Cricetulus griseus: one gene and its partners. The protein of the gene in region 1 interacts with the protein of each later gene in a pairwise test. Links are inferred from orthologs where the notes say so. Each region holds a gene or a part of one and is shown on either strand. Other genes may lie near its edges. The genes, in order: Map2k3, Arnt and Fgfr4.

The links.
Region 2: the proteins of Map2k3 (region 1) and Arnt come close enough for resonance energy transfer, tested with the Homo sapiens proteins (2 studies listed by BioGRID). The link is inferred for Cricetulus griseus from reciprocal best matches to the Homo sapiens genes MAP2K3 and ARNT.
Region 3: the proteins of Map2k3 (region 1) and Fgfr4 come close enough for resonance energy transfer, tested with the Homo sapiens proteins (2 studies listed by BioGRID). The link is inferred for Cricetulus griseus from reciprocal best matches to the Homo sapiens genes MAP2K3 and FGFR4.

What each region holds. Positions count from the first base shown.
Region 1 is NC_048600.1:74,919,782-74,923,526, reverse strand, and holds the start of Map2k3 (dual specificity mitogen-activated protein kinase kinase 3), read right to left. Parts: upstream 2,472-3,745; 5' UTR 2,299-2,471; coding exon 2,250-2,298; intron 1-2,249. UniProt on the Homo sapiens protein: Dual specificity kinase. Is activated by cytokines and environmental stress in vivo. Catalyzes the concomitant phosphorylation of a threonine and a tyrosine residue in the MAP kinase p38.
Region 2 is NW_023276806.1:61,085,716-61,089,460, reverse strand, and holds the start of Arnt (aryl hydrocarbon receptor nuclear translocator), read left to right. Parts: upstream 1-1,237; 5' UTR 1,238-1,385; intron 1,386-1,529; exon of another isoform or gene 1,530-1,906; 5' UTR 1,907-1,993; coding exon 1,994-2,017; intron 2,018-2,175; coding exon 2,176-2,444; intron 2,445-3,745. UniProt on the Homo sapiens protein: Required for activity of the AHR. Upon ligand binding, AHR translocates into the nucleus, where it heterodimerizes with ARNT and induces transcription by binding to xenobiotic response elements (XRE).
Region 3 is NC_048596.1:274,156,741-274,160,385, forward strand, and holds part of Fgfr4 (fibroblast growth factor receptor 4), read left to right. Parts: intron 1-297; coding exon 298-421; intron 422-921; coding exon 922-1,112; intron 1,113-1,234; coding exon 1,235-1,373; intron 1,374-1,706; coding exon 1,707-1,900; intron 1,901-1,981; coding exon 1,982-2,127; intron 2,128-2,210; coding exon 2,211-2,332; intron 2,333-3,645. UniProt on the Homo sapiens protein: Tyrosine-protein kinase that acts as a cell-surface receptor for fibroblast growth factors and plays a role in the regulation of cell proliferation, differentiation and migration, and in regulation of lipid metabolism, bile acid biosynthesis, glucose uptake, vitamin D metabolism and phosphate homeostasis.

The DNA of each region.
Region 1 (3,745 bases):
GTCTAGTAGGCATGGGGGTGATGGTCAGGATGACAGTGTCCCACTGCTCCCCTAAGCACCTTATACAGGAATGGCATGGAGGGAGCACTGGGGAGATCAGCTTATAGTCCTGCTGTAGCCATGCTCTGTCCATCACAGCTGTGTAGCCTCTGTAAATGGTTCGTGTCCCCGAGTTTCTGTTAATAGGCAAACGGGGCTATGGAGAATAAACAAGGCAATGTATAGCACGTGGTATAGCACAAAAAGCTTGGTAAGTGACAACTCAAAAGCTTTTGGTGAATGGATATTGTCATTCCACCATCACAGATGTCTCCAGACTCCCTAAAAGGCTACAAGGGATCCCGGGCCTTGGAGAGAGTCTCAACTTCCATCCAACCCACCCAATATCATGTTACCTAACCTACAATCTGCAAATTTATACTGGCCCTCTCAGAAGAAAGACCCAGAGAGTCCAGTGCCAGGCCTCAAGTCACCATGAGGGTGGACAGTATCCACAATCAATGCTTTGCTATGTCACCCACAATCTTTCTCCCTTGTAATCTACAACTGCAACTTTATTTTGATGTAGCATCTCTCGCCTGGAAGAACTGAAATGCCTCTAAAACAAACACTGCTTCCAACCCTTCCTGACTGGAGCAGCATCTAATTTCCTGGTTCTCAAGTTCCACGAGGTCTGCATGCAAGTCCCTCCCCAGCCACCTCCCCCAACAAGTGCCTCCCTAGTTACTCACAGAAGTTGGGCAATGGTCAGGGATCTGGCCTCCCACTTATGTAAGATGCAATTACCCCGCCCACTGGGCTCCTGCACAGCCATGGAAGCCAGCTGCAGGGGACTGGAAAGGCCCCCGCCTGCCCAGGACAGCCTGCCCAAGACCAGGACTCCTGAGGTCGAGGTTTCCTAGGTCAGAAGGAGAAAAGGCCACTACTGCCCCAGCATCCTCTAAATGTCTGCCATTCCTATCATCTCTGCTCTGCAGCTGCAATCCAAAGCTGGGCCCCAACCCCACAGGGCTGAACCTTTCCAGCTGGAAACAGCCAACTTTTTCCCCTGTGTACCTACTATGTGCCTGGTGCTACGATGGGTTCTTGGTCATCTCGACCATGATTGCTTCAAACCACCCTACATTTAATCTCCCATCACACCCCAGGTATCCGTTTCATTAATAAGGCCTAGATGTGTCAAGAGACTGGCCAGGTGAGGCAGTGGCAGGTTCAGAATGCAGAGAGTCAACCTATTCACAGCTGTAGGTCCAGTTTGGAACTCTCTTTTCTGCAGCCCAACCTACTTAGTCTCTGACATGTCAAAAACACGTTCCTCTCTTCCTGGAAAAAGAAAGAAAGAAAGAAAGAAAGAAAGAAAGAAAGAAAGAAAGAAAGAAAGAAAGAGAAAAGAAACAGTCTTGCCTTCCAAGTCTTGTCCCCCTCACTTCCCATGACAAATGCTGCTGCTTCTGCAGCCCACGCAGCATCACTGCCACCTCACAGAAATTTCCAAGAAAGCCAGTTAGTTACTTGGAGACAAGTCCCAGCCTTGTACAGTTAGCCCCTGGCCTAGCAGCAAGCCCAAGTACCAAACACCGGTTCTGAAGGCAGCAGACCAAGAAACAGTAGGTGCAGGAAGAGGTCGGCTCCTAAGTGCAGTTAGAAGACTGCAACTGAGTCAACGAGCAGCAGGTAGCATGGGCTGAGCTGCGAAGTGGAGCCGCCAGGAAGTTCTACAGAGACAGCCTCAGGGAGGAGTGCAGGCGGCCAGTGTGCAAGCCAGCAAGGCATGGGCCAAGGAGGGCTCACAAGAACGGATGGAGCTGGAGGAGAGGAGGAGTTCTGAGTTCAAGACTAGGCAGGTTTCCGGCATTGGGAACACAGCCCGGGGGCCCAGAGGAGAGTAAATTGCAGCCTGGACACAATCCAGGAGCCTGGCCTGAAGGGGCTGGTGCAGCCCAAGGACCCTCTAGCAGGCAATCAGTGAAATCCTGGCTAAGTTCAGGATGCAGCCCGGAAGCCTAAACGAGGAGCTCACGATTACGCTCCAGACTTGGAGCGGGGTAGAGAACGAGATCCTGCCTGGGTGCAGTCCCACGGCCTAAGATCCGGATTCCAGTGAGGTCCCGCGAGGTCCCGGGCTCGGGCTGGATCCAGTCCTGGGCTGGAGTGCCATTGCCTGTGCCCGGCCCGGAAGGGAGTCCAGTGTCCCGGATGGGCTCGAACTGAGTGTGGCTCGGGCCGCGCGGTAGGGCGGGAGCGCCTACCTTTGGTCTGAGGCAAGCTGGCCGGTGGACTCGCGGCGGGAGACTCCATGCTGTGGACGGTCGCGGTGGAGAGCACTAATCTAGAGGACAGCAGACTACACCGAGGCCGGGCGCGCTCATGGCTGCTGGCGGCAGGCGGCGGACGATAGGCGATAGGGAGCAGAGAAGCGACGGTAGCAAGCGTCCGAGGCGGGCGGCGCCACAGCCACACTGGGCAGCGGCGGACGCCGGCCGACGGCGCCACGCAGACCCCGCCCCTCGCGCCGATTGGCCTACCTGAAAAGGCCCTTGCCTATCAGACGCCGACCGGACTGTCACGCACAAGCTCCACCCTCCGGGAGCCGGAATCCAACCCTGCTTTCCCCTAGTCCGGTCCGGCTCCGCCCTCTTGCCTATCAAGATGACAGCCCTACCCATTCGCGGTATGGTGCTGGCGCGGTCCTGGATACCCCAGCCTGTGCCCCCCTACGGCACAGCGTGTGCCGGTCGTAATCTGGAAAATCTCAAGCTCTCTAGGATAGTCGGACCGGGCCGATGCGGCTGGTAGGGTGCTCCTGGAAAATTGCTCCTGGAATGAGACTGGACTCCTAAGTGGCTGCGCCGTTCCAAGGGTGAGCGTCATGTGCTTCTCCCCTTTAGAGAGCTGCGACCTCGGGCCTGCCTCCTAGGGCAGCAGGGGAAACGAGATCCCGCGGCGGCGCGTGCCAGGTGAGTGCTGACCAACTGTGGGAAAGAGTTCACCGCGCCTTGCGGAGCGCACACGCGTTTAAGTCCGTGTGGCGGCTGCAGCCAAGAGCACCTGACACGCCGGCTCTTAAGGAGCACCCGGATTCAGCTGCTACCTGGCAGTGCCTAGTAACAAAGTAACTTTTTGTGTTGTAACATTATAGCGGCGCTATTCCTAGGGGTTAGGGGTAGTCTCCGATAAAAAGGTGTCATTCCAAACATTGAAATACCTTTGGCCAACCTTGAGTGGGGTTCCATCTCCGCGGTCAGTCGCTGAGCCTCTGTCCTCACACTAACCAGGAGTCTCTGGGATCGGATGGAAAGCCGGGCGGGCGGCCGTAGTGAGGGCAAGAAGCACAAGGTCAAGGAATCAGTCGCAGCCTGAGTGAGTCTTAGCTCTCTGGCCAGCACTCAGGGCACCAATGCCTTGTTTGCATACTTGGTTTCTACCGCACCCCTCCTCCCGTGCCACCCGCCTCCCCCCATTAGGAATTCCCAATTAGGAATCCTGACTGTCTCATCCCCTGCACTATCCCAAGGCTTAGCCCAGAGCCACGCACATAGTAGGTTCCTAAGAACTATTTGAGGAATGAGCAGAGGAAGTAGGAAAGCATGCCACAGACATGGGTAAAGTGATTCTAGTCCCGTGCCAGCCTCCTGGGCACCAGGGTGACTCAGACAAGGTCCTCAAACAGGAGGAGTTTAATGGGTTAGTCAGACAACTTGACAAACAGCCCAGGAATCACAAACTCCATGTGGGGTGCTATAAA
Region 2 (3,745 bases), on another chromosome or scaffold:
AAAAAAGTTCATTGGTTATGGTTGTTAGACCCCCGAAAACCTCAAGTATCCGGGGTCCCAGGCCACGTTAGCGGTCACCCCAATCACCAGGCAGATTCGAGAGCTTGCTGCAAACTGCACGAGGCTTTATTGTAATTTAACGAGCTAACCCCATGTTAGCTCGGGTCTTTCACCCACCCGCCATGGCAGATGGCTAGCAAAGACGGCTCCTACGGGCTCCCAAAAGATCTTATAGGGCAGCGTAAGGGGAGTGTCTAGGGGTACGCACAGGCTTACGCACAGGCTCACGATTGGTGTGTCTCCAGGCTTGGAGGGCTTGTCCTGTATTGATTGGTCAACTGGTTGTTATGGCCCATAGGCCCTCCCAGGGTGGTTGCTATGCTCTTCGTGTCATTGCTTGTACGTAAAGCACACCTAAGGTCGTAAAGCATAGCGCCACCAGCTAACCTCTGATTGGCTCCCTGTCACGAGACAGGCATCTGACTTTCTAGTGTCTAGGTCAAGGTCATAGAAGCACATGTTCGGCCATAATGGCTGCCAACAGGGAAGCGGGTTCTTTCAATGGTCAAGCTAAGTACTTATGATTAATAACAGGGATAAACCTGACTCAGTCCCCGGTATATGACTTCTAATACTATAGAGATCTGCAGAGTATGGCATTTAAAGTGCTAACTAAAAAGCTTATAATATCAGACAGATAATTCCAGATCCTGACAGTGACCCAAGGTCTCTAAAGAAGATTATGGGGCTCCATGGACTGTGACAATGCTGACCAATGAGCATGATGCTCAGATGCTAAACCTGCTGCCAGACAGGACCGGGCTCAGACTGTGGACAGGCTACAGGACACTGGAGAATTGATTTCACCACCTTTGCCTAGACAAAATAAGGTCAGTCTTTTCCATGTCCCTCTTCCACAGAGAGAAAAAACTCTCACTATATGGACCTGGCGAATATTTATTACTGCCCCCAACACTATTGAGACTTGGGTATGGCTAACTTTATATGGAATGGACCCTGTCATTTTTAAATAGATTCAGAAGTTACACAGAATTTATCCTTCTCAGAAGTCTGATAGTATTAATGATTAGACTAGCTATACACGCCGGCTTGACGCATGCTCAATCTTAGGTTCCCACAGTCCTTATTCTGCCGTGCTGGGCAGTAAATTTGACCCTGTCCGGCTACCGTTGAGCGGCCGGAAGGGCGCTCGATTTTGCTTCCGGGCCTTTTGCTTTTCCCTCTTGATCCCTCACGCGCCTTTCCCACCCCCGCTCTCTCTCGCTCTCTCTGGGTTTCTGTGTTTGTGGGCGAGGCCGAGCCCTGGAGTCGGAATCTGGGGTCCTCGTGGTTGGGAGCCGCAGTGGTGAGGAGGGCTGGCTGAGGTAGGCTGAGGCGGGCACCCCGGGGGTTTTCTGTGGGAGGCGGCAGCTGTGTGTAGACACCTGGCGGAGAGCGGAGCCGGGCGGGGGCGGGGCCGAAGGGGGCGGGGCCGACCGGGTCGGCGGGGCCGAGGCTCCTTCCCTTGGTGGCCGAGCCCCGAGCGCGTGACTCGAGTGTGGAGGTTGTGTGGCCTCTGCTGCAAGCTGTGCTCTGTGCAGGTAGCAAAGACCTCGTGTTTCCTCCTTTCCTTCCCTCCTGCTGGACGCAGACTCCGGGCCGGGTGCAGCCGAGGACCCCTTCCCTGTGCAGCAACCCCCTGCCTGGTCGTAGGAGTTACTTCCCACGGGGAAGCAAAGTAACGTAACGGGAGAAAAGGAGTCAAAACCCAAGATGGAAGTAGTTAGTTACGGCCCAGCTGTGTCCAGGTGGACGTGGTACTTCAGCTGAGACACAGCGCAGAGACGGATTCGTCTCCTTGATAAACAAGGAGCACGTTAGCTCACAGAAATACCTTCCTTTGTAGACAAGCACGCTTCAGTTTTGCGAATCATTGTTTTGGGCAGCTCTCTACTGCAGACCGGTGTTCTGCAAGCCCTCCAAGCTGTTCCTCATGCCCGTGGGTCTGTGTGAGAAGGTGAGTTTCCCCAGAAAATCTCCGGGTGGCATTCTGGTGAAGGAGGAGAGAGAACAGACTATGAACAAGAGCTTGCAGGATAGGAGTGCGTTTTATGATGAGGCTGAAATTGCCGGCTTGTTGATGTCAGAGTCATCGTGGTTCCTTGTTCTGCACAGGGCAAAAGCATGTCCTCCCTCCCTGGGTGCGTTAGTTTGGATGCAGCAACAGCTGCCCCTGACTCTGAAGACATGACTGAGCTGCAGCAGGCAGTGGTTGAAGAGCTGGGTATCTCTATGGAGGAACTTCGCCAGTTCATTGATGAAATGCTGGAAAAGATGGACTGTATACAGCAGCGCAAGAAGCAGCTAGCAGAGTTGGAGACGTGGTCGCTACAGAAGGAGTCTGAGGTGGCTTATGTTGACCAGCTCCTTGATGATGCATCCAGGTAAGGATTCATGGGAGCAAAAGTACCGTCCGTTTGCAGGCTTGTTAGGGTGATTGTTCATAGCAGAGTTCAGCCATGTGGGGCCTAACGCTTCCTTGAGATTCGCCCGCCTCTGTCTCCCTAGTGCTGGGAGTAAAGGTGTGTCATCACAGCCCTGCCTTCCTTAGTGTTTACAGTGCAGAGTTGCAGCATACACTTTTCACCCATGTGTATGGTAGCTGGTACACGGTCAGCAGTAGGGAGGTTAAAGGTTTGAATTCCTTTGTCTTCCTCCTCCTTTCTTTAGTAAGATGACCAGGAAGTGAAGATAGTAGAGTTGATGTTTTCTGTTTTTCCTTTTCTTTTTTTTCCAACGTGGGGGTGTGGTGGGGGCTGTTTTAAGACAGGATTTCTCTGTGTAACAGTAAGATCAGGCTGGCTTCGAACTCACAGAGATCTGCCTGTCTCTGTCCCCTGAGTGCTTGGAATGAAAGGCACTTAGCACTACCACCCAGCTCTGTTTTTCATTTTGTTGTGAGACAGAATCTCAATGTGTAACTTTAGCTGGCCTGAAACTTGCGGAGATCTCCAGAGTGAGTGCTGCAGTTACAGCACCCCAGCTTTGGTTTGGTTGGTTTTTTAGGGTCTCACCACTAGCAGAGTGTAGCCTTGAATTTGCTTGGTCATGATCTCCACCCTCCTGATGTTGCTCTTTTACATCCGCAGTGTTGGGATTATAGGTGTGGGCCAGCATGCCCGAGTTACGGGTTGTGTTTGGGATTGCACCAAGGGTTAAGCAATCATTCTGCCAGTTGAGCTAAATCGTCAACCTCTCAACTTGCTGTCTTTAACTGTGAAACATTAACAAATTCCAATCAGATTGCCACAGCAACTTCAGTCAACCAAGTAGATGATGTTAGTATTGCACTCAGGTGAATTTTGGATTGTTGATAAACTAGTTGAAAACTGTTGCAACTACTTACTTGTTTTGGTTTTTGGTTTTGAGGGAAAGTTTCTCTATGTGTCTTTGGCTGTCCTGGAACTCTTTCTGTAGTTCAGGTTGGCCTCAGCAGAGGATCACTCGGAAAGATCCTCCTGCTTCTGCCTCTTGAGTACTAGGAGTAAAGGCATACATCACCATTGTCCAGCTTATGTATTTTCCTTTTTTTTTTTTTTTTTTCCCCTTGGATGTAGTGTCTCTTTACATGACTCTAGCTGCCTTGGAATTCACTATGTAGACTGACTTGGCCTGGAACTCATAGAGATCCCCCTGCCTTTGCTCCTGAGATTAAAGGTGAAGGCCTGTGCCATCTGTCCTGTTG
Region 3 (3,645 bases), on another chromosome or scaffold:
AGAGAGTCAGGTCCCCTGGAACTGGAGTTACAAATGGCTGTGAGCCACCGTCTGGGTGCTAGGAATCAAACCTGGGACCTCTAGAAGAGTAGCCATTGCTCTTCATTGCTGAACAATGGCCTCCAGCCCCACTCAGACACTTCCTACAGCATTTTTCTCTGTCTAGGGATCTCTGGCCTTGGTCTGGTCCTCTCAGGGCCTAAGGAGACTGAGAAGAGCCATAGGCAGGTTCTGTCCTCCCTCTGTCTGGCTCTCCCCAGTTTAGTGGTCCCCTACAGACACTTCCTCTGCTTCCAGCTGCGCCACCAACACTGGAGCCTGGTGATGGAGAGTGTGGTCCCCTCAGACCATGGCACGTACACATGCCTCGTGGAGAACTCTCTGGGCAGCATTCGCTACAGCTATCTGTTGGATGTGCTGGGTGAGCGGATGGGCTGGGGTAGGACAAAGAGTGTTACTTACCTTGGGCTCCATCCTGCCCTCAGGGTGGGTATCTTGTCTTGGAGACAAGATGGAGTCAGTTTTAGATGAGTCAAATGGCTCTAAGGATCAGAAGGAAGCAAAAGGGCCTGTGGACTGAAGGAGAAGTCTGCCTGAAAGTGAGAAGGGCACCACCAGGCAGACGGCGCGGGCTGGATTCAGTTACTAAGGAAGCAGCGTTAGTGGCGGGTGTGTGCCGTGAGCGCAGCATTTATGGGGGTGGGGGCAGGCTGTGGAAGCTTTGTGTGAGTCTGAGACGCTGTCCTGGACCTAGAGGCAGTAAAGCCATAAGAGGTTGAAGGAGGGTGAGCAGAAGAGACGGGGTCTGAGCTGCAAGTCCAGAAGGTCCTTCCCTTGAACTGGGATGGTGGCTGGGGCAGGTAAACTGGGTGATTTCATGGGCGCCACCGGTCAGGGTTGACGGCTTGGCCTGGCCCCCAGAGCGGTCCCCGCACCGGCCCATCCTGCAGGCGGGGCTCCCAGCCAACACCACAGCTGTGGTTGGCAGCAATGTGGAGCTGCTGTGCAAGGTGTACAGTGACGCCCAGCCCCACATCCAGTGGCTGAAGCACATCGTCATCAACGGCAGCAGTTTCGGCGCTGACGGCTTCCCCTATGTACAAGTCCTGAAGGTTCCGTTCCTGCGAGCGCCTGGGCCCCACCCTTTCCCCCTGGGGTGGGATGGTCCCCAACCACCCTCCCAGCTACAGTGTGGCCCCTGACCCTCCTGTGACCCGGCCTGTCGCTGCTTCAGACAACAGACATCAATAGCTCAGAGGTAGAGGTCTTGTACCTGAGGAATGTGTCAGCTGAGGACGCGGGAGAGTACACCTGCCTGGCGGGCAACTCCATCGGCCTTTCCTACCAGTCAGCGTGGCTCACGGTGCTGCCAGGTGAGCACCTGGGAGGCCTGGGAGAGGCCACAGGCTATGGCCTGTTGGGTGGGCAGTTTCCTTGGCCTGTGGGGGTACAGTATTTGTTTGTTTGGGGCACTGTACATGTTAGATTAATGCTTTCTCGCTGAATCCAACAGGGATATGTGTCTGATTTTACATGACTGTCCATGTGGCCCTCAGGGGTATAAGACTTTGTGTAACTGCCACTTTTTCAGTGTGTGTCCCTTTATGTGTTGGTAGCTATGGGGACCTAAGGTGGGGGAGGGGGAAGGCTGACCCATGGAACACTGACCACTCAGTTTCTCTATGTCCTTGTAACGGTGAGAGCAGAGGAAGACGTCACGTGGACCACCACAGCATCTGAGGCCAGATCCACAGACATCATCCTGTATGTGTCTGGTTCACTGGCTTTGGCGGTGGTCTTGCTGCTGGCCGGGGTCTATCACCGACAAGCAATCCATGGCCACCACTCCCGCCAGCCTGTCACCGTACAAAAGTTGTCCCGTTTCCCTTTGGCCCGACAGGTACTGTGCCTATCCCCAGCCCCTGCCCTATATGGCTCTCAGCCTGGCCCCAGCAGGCAGAACAAATCCCCCACTTTGCAGTTCTCTTTGGAGTCCCGGTCCTCTGGCAAATCGAGCTTGTCCCTGGTACGAGGTGTCCGACTGTCCTCCAGTGGCCCACCCTTGCTCACAGGCCTTGTGAGCCTAGACCTACCTCTGGACCCACTTTGGGAGTTCCCCCGGGACAGGTACACTGAGCAGAGTAAGGATGGGAATGCCAACTCAAGAGTGGTACCCACAGATCTGAGCCATGGGTCTCCTTCATCTCCAGGCTGGTGCTCGGGAAGCCCCTGGGCGAGGGCTGCTTTGGGCAAGTGGTTCGAGCAGAAGCCTTCGGCATGAACCCCTCCCAGCCAGACCAAACCAGCACCGTGGCTGTGAAGATGCTGAAAGGTATGTGTGGCTACCTGGGCAGGGCATGCTGGGACCAAACTCTGCTGCTGGTGTTGTAATTTTAAAAAAGCACTGCAAGAGAGAAAGATACCATGCAACAGAATTCAAGTGGAGGGTTTTTTGTTTTTGTTTTGTTTTGTTTTGTTTTTTAATTAAGGAAAGGGATCATAAAAGGGGGAAAAGAGAGGGGGAGACCAACCTCTGGGGACAGGAGCAGTGGGAGAGAAGAAAGAGAGGCAGAGAGGCAGAGAGAGAGAGAGAGAGAGAGAGAGAGAGGGAGAGGGAGAGGGATAAGAGATGGGCAGGGCCCTTTTAAAAGGGAAAGTAGTGAACGTGCACAGGTGGTGCTCTTAGTGGCTGCAGCTGTCAGAACCCCGAGGGCAGGCCAGAACAGATGCCTGAATGCTAACATCTGGCCTTGGCAAGTGACTTCTGAGCCTCACTTTCTCCTCGTATCTCTATTGGGATAAATAATGGTCCGTTGCCTCTCAGGCTGGCGTTCAGAGGATGTGTCTGGTACACAGGGCTTAGTAAATTTTTGATACAGGGTATGAAATTTTTTTTGCTTAAGGCTGAGTCACAGTCTAGCCTGGGCTGACATGGAAGTCACTCTGCCATTCAGCCCAGCCTGGAACTCATAGTGATCCTCCTGAGCACTGGAACTCCACCTGGCTAGCTCAGTAAACTTTAACTGCTGGGTGATGATCCCTATGAGATGTGTGGTGACTAGGGCTCGGGCCTCATGTATCATCCTCACGTGTCTTCTCATCAATCCCACTAAATTACACACCACCATCACATAGTCCTCCCATCCAAGTCTGTATTGATCAACTCTGTTTAAAAGCCCCAGTCTCAGGGCTGGAGAGATGGTGCAACCATTACTCTTGCAGAGGACTCAAGTTCAATTCCCAGCATCCACATTGATGTGGGCAACTTAAAACCACCTACCTGTAGCTCCAGCTCCAGGGATTCTGACATCTTCTCTGACCTCTGAAGGTACCCCACACACATGGCACTTGTGCGCGCGCGCACGCGCGCGCACACACATACACACACACACACACACACACACACACACACACATTGCCAAGTTCATGGGTCTTGGGGCAGATACTTGGGATTCTAAGACAATAGGATTATAAAACCAAGGCCTGCCTAGGCTACAGATTGATACAAGTCCAGCCCAGACAACTTAGTGAAACCCTTTTTCAAAATCTGAAGAGGACTGGCTAAGTGTCTTGTAAAACGTGCCAGGGCTGACATACAATCCCTCAAAAAAAAAAAAAAGCTGGGACCTCATGCAATGTCCCCAA